Linked DNA regions of Xenopus tropicalis. The protein of the gene in region 2 interacts with the protein of the main gene of each other region in a biochemical or structural test. Links are inferred from orthologs where the notes say so. Each region holds a gene or a part of one and is shown on either strand. Other genes may lie near its edges. The genes, in order: cdc7, clspn, csnk1g1 and usp20.

Region 1 (3,566 bases), on a different chromosome or scaffold from region 2:
TCTCTCATTCAAATCACTGGTTACTAAGGTAATTCAGACCCTAGCAGCAAGAACGCTGCTGAAAAGCCAAGTTTATTTCACGAAATAACTAAAAAAAAACTACAAATAAAAAATGAATGAACATTTTCTCAGTATTATTCTCTTCAAAATAAAAAAAGTTACAAAAAAAGAGAACAACTCCTTTAAACAGGCCAGAGGATGTGGGCAGAATTGGAGCTGTCCTCGAGGAAGAAAAGATTGGATTCAAAGTTACAATAAGAATTACCAGAAGTGTACCAGCCTACAACCTTGCTTACACCAGGAAGCATTGTCTCAGAGAGAAAAAAATACGACACATTTACCCAGAGCACCATTAGTAGATAAGTAGACAGGTTGCTGTATGAAGAATTACATGACTCATAACCAAATGTAAACACATCATAGAAAAGACCAGTTACAAAAATGAGAATTTATTTAAATAATTTAAAAATAAACCTATAATACAAAAATTTGAAATATTTTCCTTATTCTTGGCAGTACAAGCAGAAGGTGACAACACATTACCTCATGTTTTTAAAAAGTGGATGTATTAAAGCTTCTTCCGCCGTAATTCTTGTTGCTGGATTCATATCAAGAAGTCTGTCTAATAGATGATAAGCCTCATTTGGGACTCTATCCCACCCATTATGATTAGATTGTTCAATATCCATATTATCAGGTGCAGACACACAACTAGCAACCATAGAAGAAGCATGAGTTATATTAGACGATTCTGGTGAAAACCATCCATCTTGATTTTCCATTATCTGCATTTGTAAAGCAGCCCTTTGTTTTTGTATGTCATGTTGATCACCATTTGGAAGAAGGACTGCACTTCTCAACCCTTCACACAGAGTTTTTAAGTCCTTTGAAGGAAGTTCTTTACTACAAAGCAAATTTTTACCTATGATAAAAAAGACATTTTAAGATATTTAATCATTAAGGTTTTTATAACCATATATAACATAAAAAAGTGAAGTGGGAATTAGTTGAAGATGTATGTCATTGTAACAAACAAGTGTACACAATGTACAAATAAAACCATCTAAACTGAACTAAGCAGCTAGATAACATAATGCAATCTAGTACTAGTAATCTAGTATTTAACTTGGAAAATATGGGCAAATATTTCAAAACACAGATGTGCGGACAAAGAGTAGTGTATTCTAAGTTCTTATCTTACAATGAATCATCTTAAGATTAGGCCAGAATCTAAACAATTTTAACCAGACATCAAATTAAATTAAAGCTTGGCCACTTAAAATGTAGTTGGTGGCTTAATGTCAAATGTATGGGGCCACAATAATATGCTGTCCAAATGATATCTATCTGGGGAGCGGCCATAACTCTATCAGGCAAATTAAAGCATCAAATGAATAGCACCTTGGGCCCACTGACACAATCCTCTCCTAACGGGCCTGTATAGGAACTATAGGGTTGTGTAACGATCAGATGGAAGAGGACCTAAAGGGTCCTGGAGGCCAAATCAACATCTGCACACACACCAAAGAAGATCTTTAAATGAATGGCTAGATTAAAAGGAACATGTCTCCCAGACCTAAAAAGCTGTATAATAAAAGTTCTATTTAAATTAAACACAAGACCCAAGTTCCTTTTTTATTAACACAATCATATCCATTACAAAGGCATTTAAAAATCCAAACTGTCAATCATATAGCAGACAATTACTTTTCCTTTCCTTTTAGCTCTTAGGGTAAGAAACCACGGAGCAGTTTGGTCGCCTGTGATAGATTTCTGCTGTTGTGGGCGACTATCCCTCTAAAAATGGTTTTCCACCGGCAATAATAGGAGTCGCTGGTGGAAATCCCTTTGCATTGCTTCGGTATTCTGAAGTCGTACAAAGTTTTCCCCTGCAGGCAACTTCATATTCATATTTGCCCAGGTCAAATGCACTGTGACAATATATTTAAATTGGTGCACCCAAACCAAGGGAATATTGAAAGGTAAGCCTAATGGGTGGTTGGGGTCTATTGGGTATGGTACCCCAAGAGGCACAGTAGTCGATTTTTTAGGATCTGCAATTTCTTGTTTCTTGTATTGTGCTTCCTTGATCTAGGAGAGATTGCCTAATGAGAGCCAAGGGCTCAATTACAAGGCAAACAGAATAATGGGAATTATTGTCTTATTCCTCTGGCAAGTGAGAACATATTACTCTGGTATCAGTGTGAAATACTTTCAAGAATTTCTTGAGGATATATGACCTCTCTGGAAACTTCTTAGAAAATACATTTTAAGAGCAAAAATGATAAGTGAAGGTAAGGTAAAGCAGTAAGAAATTAAATTTGTATATTTGTGTCCTCAGCCCTAGTTGGTCGGGGTGCCTAAGATATAAGTTTTAGAATTCAGCCTTCCCTGCCCTTAAAATATTTTTATGTAATTACTCTAAGGGGCCCATTTATCAAAGTACAATTGGTTACAATTACAGGTATAGGACCTGTTATCAAGAATGCACAGGACCAAGGGTATTCCGGATAAGGGGTCTTTCCGTAATTTGGATCTCCATACCTTAAGTCTACTAAAAAAAACAATAAAGCAATAATTAAATCCAATAGAATTGTTTTGCATCCAGTAAGGGTTAATTATATCTTCGTTGGGATCAATTACAAGGTAGTGTTTTATTACTACAGAGAAAAAAGAAATCAGTTTTAAAATTCTGAATTATTTGATTAAAATAAAGTCTATAGGAGACGGGCTTTCCGTAATTCGGAGCAGTATGTACGATATTTTCGTATTCAAACAAAAATAATTTTTGTGACATTTGCAATCACCAGAAATGATCGGATTTTGTGATTCAGATTCGCACATGAGTAAATCAGCTCCTAAGTGTTTTAATTGTTCACTCTGTAATACTGTAATGTGTGAAGTTAGCCCACAAACAATCAAGCAAAAAGAGAACATTTGTATTAGAGAATTTTACTTTTGTCATAATTATATGGCATATTTTACATACCAAAACATTTAGAAGCTTGTATTGTCTCCTTAGATCCACGAATCGTCATAATCTGGGCCAAAGCATTCATATCATCCGCAGCATTAAAAAAATGATATCTTCCGCTTAGTAAAGAAAGAAAGATGATGCCTGCAGACCACATGTCAATTGCTGTAAAAAATTAAGTGAGCTTAAAAAGCAAATACATAAAAAATGTTCAGAGTATAAGAAGCCCTAACAGGTAATTTTCGAATTGTCTAATATTAAAAACTAACATTGACATATAAAGTTAATAAAATACTTGATATATGGATATAACAAATAAATATAAATACAGTGCTTTGCTAAAGTATTCACCCCCCTTGGCATTTTTCATGTTTTTTTGCCTAACAACCTGGAATTAAAATGGATTGTTTTGAGAGTTTGCACCATTTCATTTACAGAACATGCCTACAACTTTAAAGATATACAGGACAAAATAACAGAAAACTTCAGCGTGCATGAAGTCAGTACTTTGTAGAGCCACCTTTTGCAGCAACTACAGCTGTAAGTCGCTCTGGATAAGTCTCTATGAGCTTGCCCTGGGATTTTTGCCCAT
Region 2 (4,014 bases):
CTGGCTATCACCTGACAAAAGGGCACGCCCTCCAAAACATTGTATGTTCTTTTTGGCATAATAAAACTTGGGGGGTAGTCCCCTACAGGAAGCCTTTGTGTGCCAGGATTTCTATTTATTTATATATTTATACATACCAGGGAGGGCCATCTCCCTTATTGCCGAGCAGCAAGGAGAAAAATCAGAGACCTGGGTGTGCATGTAAAAATTTGGTTACTTGCAACATTTGGGGAACCCATGTGTCAGATCATCAAATACTTCATTTTTGTTCCCAGTAGTGACAGGCTTCTTAGAGTTAGTCCCCTTCAGGAAGACCTTCTGCAATTTGTTTTGGGTTATGTAAAGTTTGCTTAGTTTTGTCTGTGATCACTTGTTCTAACTCTAATGTTTTTAATTTGTATTGCCAGTAGATCTATTTTGTTTCTTTTGTAATAACTATTTATTTTCAATTTTCTAAGTCCTATTTCCATGTTTATCAAATCTAATTGATGAAGCTCTCCTTTTATCTTTGTGATTTGTTTTGTAAGTTTTTTGGATGGGGAATTTTTTTTGATGTTTGTAACTGTGCTAGTTGCTGTTCAAGGGCTGATCTTTTTTGTGTATTGTGTTTCATTTGTCTGGTAGCCATTTGGATACATAATCCTCTGATGGTCTCCCACTTAGTGGAGGCTTGGGATTTTTCCTGTTTGCGCCCCAGTGTGGCCCTGGATATCAGTGCCAAGAAAGGGTTACACATACATAACACATACATGTATTATGGCCATCCACATACAAAGAAAAAAATAAAAAGTAGTAAAACACCACTTTCAGCACTAGGCAGATACTGAAGTTCCTCTCACTTCTGGAACTGTTAATACCCAATTAAAGTGCTTCTAAATAAGAAATTAATCAGAGTTTTCTAAAATATCTAAGACTGCAAAGTTCAAGCGTCATCCTAAATAGTCTTTAAGCTTAGTTCCTCCAGGGGTATCCGCCCGACAGTTCGCTACCAACTTTTAAAGGGCATCTTTCTGGGGCACAGGGGATGAATCTTGAATCGGTGACTTTCCAAACCAGGTCTCCAGGCGGCGCAATCATTGAGTTTGGGAGGCGGAAACCAAGTTGCTGGTGCACGTTCTAAAATGAGGAAATAGATGGAGAACGAGGCTTTGAACGCATACAGAAAATAACACGTCACTGTTGTGGGTGACAGTCATTGGATGGCTTTTTTTCTGCTCAACCCACACGTACAGGGCGCGAATTCTGAGGCGGCAGCTGGGAAGATTGGCGGGAGCTGTCAGCAGATAGCACCATGGCCGCGCTTTGTGAAGAAGAGCAGGTGAGGCGAACTACTCTATATAGGCAGCACTGGTAGTCATCTTGGAATAAATACTTGGCTTCTTACCGTTTGGCTATACCTGCGTTGGATTAGACCAGTCGGGTAGAACAACAAAGGCAATCGTGTTCACTTGCACAGACTATAGATATACCTATGTATAAGGGACGGGCTGACTAAATCACCGCAAAGCTCATGAAAAAACAAAAACCAGGTGTGAAAACCAAAACGCCATCTCTGGTTTTGGGCTGCATTTAAAATTAACATTTGTCGTGCGTGTGCACCGATAATACCTGGTATATCTAATAATACGCTCTTTATGTATTTGTGTTTCTTCCGTTTTGTTTAGGATAATATAGCCGTGTCTACGAGACTTATACATGAATGTAAATGTGTTTTAGGGTTCGAGTAAGTGTTGGCAAAAAGCTTATTGGCCAGTGCCCCTCTAGGCCCCCAGCAACTGCAGGGTCTGCTCTCTTTATAGTTACTCCCTTGTTTAGATTGTTCATCTGCAGTCCTGTGCTTATGGTGCAACCCATGTGTAGGAGTGCAGGGCTGCAGGCAAATATGTTCTGCAAATTCTAAGGTTTATAACTAACTTAAGGGGCATAATCTTAATAGAGAGAAGTATAACTCATTATACTGTTTAACTTGTCTTGTGTTATTGGATGTTTACATTTCTAAATCTGGAGTCTGAGCCTATTTTAGTAAATAGAATACAATAAATGTAATAGATATTAATACAATATATGAATGTTTGGGACCTTGGGTTTCCCTGATAAGCAGGTCCTTCAGTAATTTGGATCTCTATATCTTAAGTCTACTGAAAAAAACATTTAAATATTAATTAAATCCAATAGGATTGTTTTGCCTCCAATGGGTATTATTTATGTCTTAGTTGGAATCAAGTATATTGTACTGTTCTATTTATGCAGAAAAAGGAAATCATTCTAAAGAATAGAATTATTTTCTTATAATGAAGTCTATGGGGGATAGTCTTCCTGTAATTTGGGACTTTCTGGATAATGGATTTCTGGGTAATGGATCCAATGCTTGCATTAAATTATGATGTGGTTTGTTTAATAAACAAAGCTTTTCTTGCCTTTTTAGTGCTTAAGCCTGGGAAAGGACATAATGTGTATGTCCTCAGATGCCTTAAGAATATTTAAAAAAAAAAAGATATTGAAATATTGAATTTAGTGGGCTGGTGGGGGCGGTTTGGGCTTCTGTATACTTAAAATGCCAAGGCCTATTTTAAATGCCAGTCCAGGCCTGGTCCCCAGTGACATTTGCTTGGGGCTTGCATAAGGAAATTCTATAATCTATATTTGGATCCCTTACTGACCATACTGTTTGGGAACAAGGCATAAATAGAAAGCTGTGTAAAGAATAGCTGAAAAATAACAAGTTCTACTTTTTACCTTAAGGTGGTTGTTTACCTTTTCATTAACTTTATGATGTAGAGAGTTCTAATAAATAAATAAATAAATAAATATATATATATATATATATATATATATATATTATTAATTATAATTAATTCGTATTGGAGCCAAAACAATCCTATTGGGCTTAGTGTTTATAGAATTTTTTTTTTTTTTTTTTATGTATTCTTTATTTTTTGGTTTTTCAGCAGAAATGGGGTACAGAAAGAAAGAGGGGAATGGGGTAAGGACATTTATAATGGTCTGCATTTACAATCAGCTTTTGAAGTCAGGAGATAACACAAAGTTTTTTCTATTAATTGAAACACAGTTGGAGAAAGACATTTTATAGAATTTTTTTAGCAGACTTATGGTAGGAGATCTGAATTACGGAAAGACCCCTTATCCGGAAACCGCCAGGTCCCAAGCATTCTGGATAACTGGTCCCATACCTGTAGTTTAAATGTCTTTAATGTTCAATAATTTTACCTGGTGTTTTTTATTCTAAAACCTTTAACATTATTGTTTTAAATAGTTAGTTTTGGAACCAGAAGACAGCATCAGTCTGAAGATCTTGGAGACAGATTCTGACAGTGGTCAGGGCAGCTGTGAAATGGCTTCTGCTGATGATCAGAACAAAATATTGGATTGTATAGAGGACAGAGGTGTGTTGAAATAAAGTTATGCCTTCTGAAAGCAAGAATTTCCTTTAGACACAAGTGCCCCACAGATTGTAGCAGATAAGTTTTTGATCTTGATATAGCAGTCTTGATTTATAAGCGGTGATTAAACATTTAAAGGAGAAGGAAAGGCTAAGTCACTTGGCGGTGCCAAAATGTTAGGCACCCCCCAGTGACTTTAATCGCTTACCTTGTACCCCGGGCTGGTGCCCCTGTTAGGAGAAAACCAGCCTGGGGTACCTGTAGCGAGCGTTTCCTCCTTCCATGTTCACTCTGCCAGCAAAATCCATGGGCCGGCTCATGCGCTGTAGAGTGAAAAGCTGACTTTTTTGTGCGGCTTTTCACTCTACTGCGCATGCACAAGCGCGAACATGGAAGACGAGGCGCTCGCTGCAGGTACCCTGGGCTGGTGCGGTTTTCTCCGAACAGGGGTACAAGGTAAGAGTTTAAAGTCACTTGGGGGTTCCTGACATTTTGGCACACCCAAGTGACTTCTCCTTTTAAATCACATTGCATATTACAGTTATAAAAAAGGCATCATCTGTAAAGTCTGTATCATTGGTCTTCGACATGCTTAGTGCTTAGTAAAGTATGG
Region 3 (4,277 bases), on a different chromosome or scaffold from region 2:
TACCGCCATAAACTGTCAGATATGGTACAATACAAGATTAAGTAGGGTATACAGAACAGCTTCTCTATCTTCTTGCTATTTAGGCTGTCACAGGTATGGATACCTTAACTGCCCTACACTTTAGGCTGTCAGGAGTATTAAAGTGCCACAACATAGGAACTACTAAAATAATGGGTTGTATAACTAGATTTGGCTGAAAGCAATCAGTTACAGATTTTAGCCTTCAAAGTATGGATTGAACTGAAAATCACTGATTTAGTGTAATCCAAGGTTGAGGTCTACTGCACGCTGGAAACAGTAAAGCAGCACTATCAATTAAATCAAAAGCTAATTATATTCAGTGCCGGGGCCACATTTTTTTTTTTTTTTTACTTCTTATAACAGAACACAAAAAATAATCCATTCTCATGGTCATATTTAAAAAAGACAGGTATTTCAGGTAGGTTACTAACATGAGCAAACAGTATCAATATGTGCATGTGTATACCAACCCTGGTTTCCAACCCAGAAAAATTTAACAATCAACATTAATAGCAAAATCTAGATTTGCATAGTGGCGTTTTAATAGGCCTTTGCAATGACCAATTTACTTGGCAAAAAAAACAATATTCAAATTTGGCAAATCAAGCATAACTGGGTGCAACTGTGATATGAACACTGTTCAATCAAGGAATAAATTGCAGTAACAATCACCAATTCCTGCAGAACATGTAATTATTTTTATACCATGTTCTGCTAATTATATGTTTAAAACTCTGGGTGCTAAATGGGTCTCCCAAATCGCTCATTATGCATGTGCTGTCACTTACAAGCAAATAATAAGCAAGCTGGGACACTAAGCCTCATTTGCATGCTTGTGTCCCAACATGGCTGCCACTACCGGGAGCTCCCTCATAGTGCAGGTGGCATATCACTCACAGCCAGCATTTTTTTTTAACAAAAGAGAATTGTTTTCCTTAACAGGGGTTCACCTCCAGTGGAAATAAGAAATTATGTCAAACTAATGTGACCAGATACTAAACCCTGCATAGCGCCTGCGAAAAAAACCTGCTCAGTCCAAATTTATGCAAGATGACACCTATAAAACCAGGTATACAGGGCTGTGGGGCTCATTTACCAACACTGGCCATATCGGTCATACAAAGAATTTACATCAAGATTCTTGTACTTTTCAAGCCCTCAACAATGTTGAGCCGCCAAACAACTACCAAATAAACCACGAGATGTAACATCAGGTTTTCACATGACCTTCTCTCACGCTTATTACTCCAACTAATTCCTGCATCCAGGACTTTCATGTGTTGCACCCACCCTCTGAAACACCTTCCAACTAATCACGGTCAAAGCCTCCAGGCTTAAAGATAATCAATTATAAGCCACCTTTAAATTCACACCTATAACTTAAGCACTCAGCAACTTGATCATTCCCATATCCCCCTTACTTTTCACAAGCACACAAACTGGTCAATGGTTACCACCTTTCACTATGCACTTACCATTACTATACCAGCTAAAGAACTCTACAACCGTACTGCTTAACCTCATCGTATGTCTTACTTCTTTCACCCCTTTTAGAGTCTCAGCTCTCGCGAGCAGAGCCTTTCCCTGCAGCCTTCTAACAATGGGCAATAGTAAATTTTGTCTATATATGTAACTTGTCTCTTTTATTTGCATCTCTTACTCTGTAAAGTGCTGTTGGAAAGGATGGCGCTATATAAATAATAATTTGCACCTGGGCAGTAACTTGTTGTACAAAACTAAAGCAAAGATTTTATTGGTTGCTATAGGTTACAGGATCAAGTTTGCAGTGTTGATGTGAGTCCCAGTGAATGCTAGGTGCAGGATAACCTATGCCAAACTTACACATTATCTGTAAATTCCAATTAGCAAAATACTTCTTATTGGCACACGGGGAGATTAGTTGCCCGCGACAAATCTCCCTTATCACGGGCGACTAATCTCCCCATGTGTCAGAGCCCTTATGGCTTCTAAGAGACAATGGTATGACACGCATTTAACTGATGGACAAATCCCACAAGGGGCTTGTTAAAAGTTTTATTGAACGCTACCTATCAACAGTGGTGACAGGTGGATTTGGCCAGAAAATACTCAAATTGGTATGGAATCCTGCCTAGTAGCAAGTTAGTTTCAGTGGAAACCTCCTGTCACCACAAACGACAAGCAGAATTTAGCCCGAAACAAGTCAAATGTGCATTTTCTGGCCAAAATTTGCAAAAATGTTGATACATCCTATGTACCATGAGCCTAAACGCTTGGGACAAAAAGAGAAGCTTACTTCTTAAATGCCAAAACAGAAGCATAACATACATGACAAAACTACTGTATGTCTCTGGTTGTACAATATATAAATTATAAACATTATAAACTGTTATGAATCAGTTTTGTGTTACCTTTGTTTCCAAAACTCGAGTCTCTACTTTCCTAATATTCGGCACACTACAAACAGAAGCTCCACACATTTCCAGGTTTAAAGAGATGTATAGATTTGCATTAAGATGATTTCACTTCAAAATCCTTATGACAATTGCCGTCAAAGTCTCTGTTGCGTTGATGTGAGGGCTTTCTCTGCCCCTGATGCTACAATACCTGTAACTGGTCACACTGTATCTGTGACTAAACACCCTAAGCTTCCATGCCTACATCAAAATCTCTATGCAACCCACTTGTATTCACCGAGACCACAGTACAGCCAGTATTAACCCTAATAATCACCATTTGAGCCACCGTGCCGGTTACTAATACACCCTAGCGTGCCAATGCCACATATTGACCAACAGTCCCGCTTTTCACTGGACACTCCTTATTTTCCTAAGAAAGCCCGCACTCCCGAATCGCTACTTACACGTCCCGCATAGATGTTAATTGCAAGCTTCTTGCCTCCTGTCTTACAGAAAATCCCGATGCCACAAGTCTCATCACGCGAGACTGTGGCGTCACTACTACCCGGAAGCGCAGTGACGCATCACGTAGCCGCCTTGTGGGAATGACGAGCAGAGACGTCGTATCTCTGCTTTCACGCAATCAGAGGCTGCAAGTGAGTGGCGGTGGGTTAGCTCACTATGTGCTTGCGCCTCCTACTTTTGTTAGGGATTGAGAACAAAAAAGGGCATTCTTTGGTGTTAGTCGGTTGTCATGCTGCCCGCCACCTCGTAGTATTTCTTCAGAATTAGCTTTTGTGTTTTTGCTTGGAGTTCTGACTTGTGCCAGGGAAAAAAAAGGTTTTTCTTGATTACCAATTGTACCTGCCACAAACGGAGCCTCTTCTCCCACGTTAACCAAAGTGTAGAGCGTTTTTGTGTATGCTAGGGCCAGGTGAAATTGAGAAATGTTAGTTTTCCTGTCCCAGTGTATTTTTGTGACCAAGGGCCGGGTTGTTTACACATTGGCAAATTTAAGAGAGGGTTATGGGTGAATTTTAGCAATCTTGAGTTTTACAGTGGCATCAGAGGATCCCGGTACTTTTGTGCAAACAAAGGGCGGGCTTTCCACAATTCAGGGATAGAACAAGAGCTGATTTAGGAGAAGACAATGGGTGAAATTGACCAAAAGTAATCTTTTCATCTGTTTCCTCTAAAGTGTGCTGGTTTCCTGTCAGTTACCACAGCAGTTCCAGGGCCCAAAAAGGTCAGCCAGTGTTTAATGTCAAGACAAGGAAAATATTTTTCACAATTTAGGACCAATATATGAGCTAACTTAGAATAATTTAATGGGTACCAACAGTGATCTTTAGTTTTTTTTTGTTTTTTTTTACATTGGCACTGGAGACTCCCAGACAGTTTTTCCTGGTTGCCAACAATACCTACCACCTGTCAAAGCCTCTTCCAATTTCACCAGAAAGGAAAAAGTTTGTGCAAACAGGGGGCAACTCTTTTCTTAATACTTTGAGGGTCCCTGTTTTGCACACAATGAGGGCCATGATTTGCACACAATGGCTAATTTAGGAAGAGCAATAGGTAAAATTCACCAAAAGTTATCTTGAGTTGTTTGGTCCATTTTTTTTTTTAAAGGGTATCTGTATTTTTGTGCAGACAAGGGGCAGATTGAGGTTCCTTGTTATCAGAGGCTCCCAGACACTTTTCCTGGTTGCCAACAGTACCTGCTGGAATCAGAGCCTATCACCCGATTTTTTTACCCCAGCCAGGCATGTCGCAGTCTCATGAGACAAGACTGCAGTGTCAATCCCCAGTTAGGTGCTGCCTACTTCCAATTTACTAGCACTCACACTTCCCCTTAGTAAACACGTTGCCTTACTTTGC
Region 4 (4,358 bases), on a different chromosome or scaffold from region 2:
AAACAAGATTTATATTACTTATACAGTGTAAGTGAAGTTTATTTTGCTTGAGAAATACAATAGAAAAGAATTTGGGATTATTTCTTAGGGTGACAGGTCCCCTTTAAGGCCTCACACGAGCAGCAGGGAGAATAAAAGGCACACAATGACTTTTGGATGTAAGTCCACTAATGTTAAACATTACCAATATATATTAACCTGTATTTAAAAAAAAAAAAAAAAAACCCTTTATGTCAGTGATCCCCAACCAGTTCTTGGCTTGGAGGCAAGCTTTAGCTGCATAAAAACCAGGTGTACTGACAAACAGAACCTCTTATAGTCTGCCAGTCCACTTAGAGGCTACCAGATTAGCAATTTACAGCCCATATTTGGCACCCCCAGAAGTCTTTTTATGCTTGTGTTGCTCCCCGACTCTTTTTACATTTGAATGTGGCTCATGGGTAAAAAAGGTTGAGGACCCCTGCTTTATGTGATGAAAAGGCCGCAGTTTGGTTGGCTTGGGAGGGAGAGGAGAGGCCTGGGCAGCAGACTGTAAGCACAGCAGTTAGACCTGAATGAGGATAATAGGGTCACATGACCACTTGTGAGAGCCTCAGCCATTCGCGGTACAAGGCCGCAATCATGATGCCATTATATCAGAGGATGGCATACATCAGCAACTGGTTACCCGTAGATACCAAGCACAATGCCAGCTGCTCACAGAAATCTCAATTTAATTGCAAAAAATAGTCAGCAATTTATACACAGCATGAGTCACTTTCCCTTCAGCTTCATCCATATATGGTTCCGCTGATCCGGCATTATCTACATTTGAGCCTGTATGTCAGCTGACACCATTCTTTTTATACAATATATATATTATATACACACCTGTGGCCCACTTGTGCAGGATATACAACAATCACTATCATATGTTCTATATATACTACCAACTGCCTACCTAGTACAAATACCAGCCTTTCTGCTTTATTATATACTATCCAGTGCCCTTCTCTGTAAATACCAGCTTGTCCCCTTCTCTGTGCATACACCAGAATCTGCCCAAATCCTATGTATATACCAGGCCATGCCCATCACTGTTTTTGTGTATATTCCAGCTTGTGCCACTGTCTTTGTCTCTACCGTTTCCTTCTCTGTGTATATACCAGCCTGTGCCCCTGAGAATATATAAACCTGCTCCCCTCTCCTCTCTATGTGTAACCTTGTGCCTACCTCCTCTCTGTGTATATACACCAGTCTGCCTCTCTTCTCTGTGCCCCTCTCTTGTGTATTTATCGGCATGTACCATCCTCTGTGCATACACCAGGTTGTGCCCACCTCCTCTCAGTGTAAATACCAGGCCATTCCCATCACAATTTTGTCTATATTTTAATTTGTGACACTCTCAGTCTGTCTCTAGCGTTTCCTTCTCTGAGTGTATAACAGCCTGTGCCCCTGGGAGTATATCAAGCTGCTTCCCTCTTCTCTCTACATAAATCCAAGCTAGTGCCTAATTTCTTCTCTGTGCCCAGCACCTCACTGTGTATATACAGCAGTCTGCCCCCTTCTCTGTGCCTAGCACCTCTCTGTGTATATACACCAGTCTGCCCCCTACGCTGTGCCCAGCGCCTCTCTGTGTATATACACCAGTCTGCCCTTTCTCTGTGCCCAGCACCTCTCTGTGTATATACACCAGTCTGTCCCCTTCTCTGTGTATATACACCAGTCTGCCCCCTTCTCTGTGCCCAGCGCTTCTCTGTGTATATACACCAGTCTGTCCCCTTCTCTGTGCCCAGCGCTTCTCTGTGTATATACACCAGTCTGCCCATATATATATATATATATATATATATATATATATATATATATATATATATATATATATATATATATATATATATATATATATATATATATATACCAAATCAAACACAACCAGCACCAAGGGTCTTGTGGTTCAAACAAATATTATAGTATTATAATTGCATGTACAACTGACGTTTCGGTCCCTTTTGGGACCTTTAAAAAGGTATATATATATATATATATATATATATATATATACAGTCCAGAGTGGGAGGCACACCATAAAATGAGAGTAAACCTAGGTGCCAGAGCTATAAAATCTGTAGATAGGTAAAGAATGTCGGCACTCTTAGGATTTCCACAATAAGGCAAAAAAGTAAAGTTTTTTTTCAAATGCAAGCGGTGAGATTTATTGTTTCCAACGTTTCAGTCCTTTACTAGGACTTTCGTCAGGGAGTGCAGGAAGGCAAAGACATTGCACTCCCTGACGAAAGTCCTAGTAAAGGACTGAAACGTTGGAAACAATAAATCTCACCGCTTGCATTTGAAAAAAAACTTTACTTTTTTGCCTTATTGTGGAAATCCTAAGAGTGCCGACATTCTTTACCTATATATATATATTTATATTGAGAGAGAGATACAAGTTGCTAGTAAGCTGCACACCATGAGAAGAAATAATACCTGGGGGTGCCAGAGAAGGTGTGTGTGTGTGTGTGTGTGTGTGTATATACATACACACACACACGCAAGGTTAATATGATGCACTGCCCCCAGGCCCCTGCCGCTACACTAAGCTAAACCCCTGCCTGTACAGACATTAATCCTCTAGTAGTTATGGAGCTTGTACATGGATACGGGGTGCAGGAGCAAACCTACCTCCCTATGCCATGCCAGCCTGATGCCAGATACCTCTGTTACCGCAGCTGTTGACTGCTGATTCCTAACTCCGCCCCACACTGCCAAGGCAAGGGCGGAGATCCGGAAGCTTCTCACTGGCATTATTACATCATTAGACCGCGCCGGAAGTTTACATATTCCGTAGTGTCCGGGTTCAGCAGCGGGGAGAAAGATGCCTGGGGGAAGAAACTTTCGGAGGCGTAAAGCCTCGTCGTCAGATGAAGAAGCGGAGGCTGAAGAAGTAACTCAGGAGGTTAGGTAGGTTCTCGTTATATTTCTGCGACTCAACAGTGAGGATACTCGAAGTTGTATTCGTGTGAAACGTTACCTCAGGCCTTTTTTTTATTCCAAGAACGCGTTACTATGGATACCAATTAGCCATAAACACATTGTTGGGAGGGCAGACTTGGGGGTCTGCTTTTTCTATAGGTGTAACTAACTAACCCCCTTCCCCATCACTGTTCTACCTGAGCGTTAGTGGGCAGAGATAGGGGAAGTGAGCAGTGTCGGGCTGGGACCCAGGGGCCCACCAGAAAACATTAGACCCTCGGCTCACTCTCCAAATTATTTTTTTCTCAACCAACCTCTGCTAGTCTCTTTTATTTACATGCCAATATCTATTCTTCCATCTATTTCTCTTCTTTGTTTTCATTCAGCAATAGGGTATGACCGTGAAGTAGGCCAAATGGTAGGAGCAGGAGGGCTCACTGACACCTGTGCCCACCAGGAGTTTCCTGGTAGGCCAGTCCGACACTGGAAGGGAGGGGCAGGGTGTTGGTTTGTGAGGGGAGGGTGGGTAATGCCCTCTGGGGGGCCCTGCGTGGTCTGGTAAGTCAATACAGGGTACAAGAATGTGTTTACTTAACAAGCACATGTGGGCCGAGGAATGCGCGCACACACACACACACACACACACCATATGTAGATTCAGCACTCCTAAGCGTGGTCAAAAGACCCATGTGCTACCAATTAAGCATTAAAAATAAAAAATCTAGTGAATATTGGTGCACACCGGGAATCATTTAAAAAAGTAGCCTTTATTGTAGTAAAAAAAAAAAAAAATAAAAAATATATATATATATATATATATATATTTTATTATATATTATTCTCTTATTAATACCCTGTTTGTATTAATGTATTCTACTGTACAGCACTGCGTACATAAGTAGCGCTTTATAAATAAAGATATATATATATATATATATATATATACATATACATATACATATACATATACATATATATATATATATACATATACATATACATATACATATACATATATATATATATAGAAACAACAACAAGAGATCCTCTGCACTCACCCATTATCAATATATAGGACATTAAGACATTCAGTGCATTTAAGCTACTAAGAAATGCCCTTCCCTTTAAGCAAAACAGGGATTGTTTGTCCATATATTGCAATATACTTCAAGCTGGCCAACTGGGTCAAAGTCATCCCTTTTGACCAGTTCCTACACTGACTTATGCGATTCATTAAGAATTCTACTGCTTCAATATACATTTAGCCAAGGGACTAAGTTTTACCTGCAACTTTCTTGCTTTCAAGGTTAAAATCCCCATATGGTTGCCCTTTTATTGGCTCCACTGGGATCACCTGACTGCAGCTGGGAAGGGTGGGAGCTACAACAAGGAGCTGGCCACTGCTC

Evidence for each region.
Region 1: of the proteins of clspn (region 2) and cdc7, one has a biochemical effect on the other in vitro, tested with the Homo sapiens proteins (3 studies listed by BioGRID, with this or other methods). The link is inferred for Xenopus tropicalis from reciprocal best matches to the Homo sapiens genes CLSPN and CDC7.
Region 3: of the proteins of clspn (region 2) and csnk1g1, one has a biochemical effect on the other in vitro, tested with the Homo sapiens proteins (2 studies listed by BioGRID). The link is inferred for Xenopus tropicalis from reciprocal best matches to the Homo sapiens genes CLSPN and CSNK1G1.
Region 4: of the proteins of clspn (region 2) and usp20, one has a biochemical effect on the other in vitro, tested with the Homo sapiens proteins (2 studies listed by BioGRID, with this or other methods). The link is inferred for Xenopus tropicalis from reciprocal best matches to the Homo sapiens genes CLSPN and USP20.

Annotation. Positions count from the first base shown.
Region 1 is NC_030680.2:104,898,730-104,902,295, forward strand, and holds the end of cdc7 (cell division cycle 7-related protein kinase), read right to left. Parts: intron 3,140-3,566; coding exon 2,990-3,139; intron 923-2,989; coding exon 540-922; 3' UTR 434-539; downstream 1-433. UniProt on the Homo sapiens protein: Kinase involved in initiation of DNA replication. Phosphorylates critical substrates that regulate the G1/S phase transition and initiation of DNA replication, such as MCM proteins and CLASPIN.
Region 2 is NC_030678.2:81,833,905-81,837,918, reverse strand, and holds the start of clspn (claspin), read left to right. Parts: upstream 1-1,155; 5' UTR 1,156-1,291; coding exon 1,292-1,318; intron 1,319-1,329; exon of another isoform or gene 1,330-1,529; intron 1,530-3,274; coding exon 3,275-3,404; intron 3,405-4,014.
Region 3 is NC_030679.2:94,478,662-94,482,938, reverse strand, and holds the start of csnk1g1 (casein kinase I), read right to left. Parts: upstream 2,827-4,277; 5' UTR 2,412-2,826; intron 1-2,411.
Region 4 is NC_030684.2:22,435,424-22,439,781, reverse strand, and holds the start of usp20 (ubiquitin carboxyl-terminal hydrolase 20), read right to left. Parts: upstream 2,801-4,358; 5' UTR 2,785-2,800; coding exon 2,662-2,784; intron 1-2,661. Other genes in the region: uncharacterized protein C9orf78 homolog, read left to right, coding at 2,855-2,940.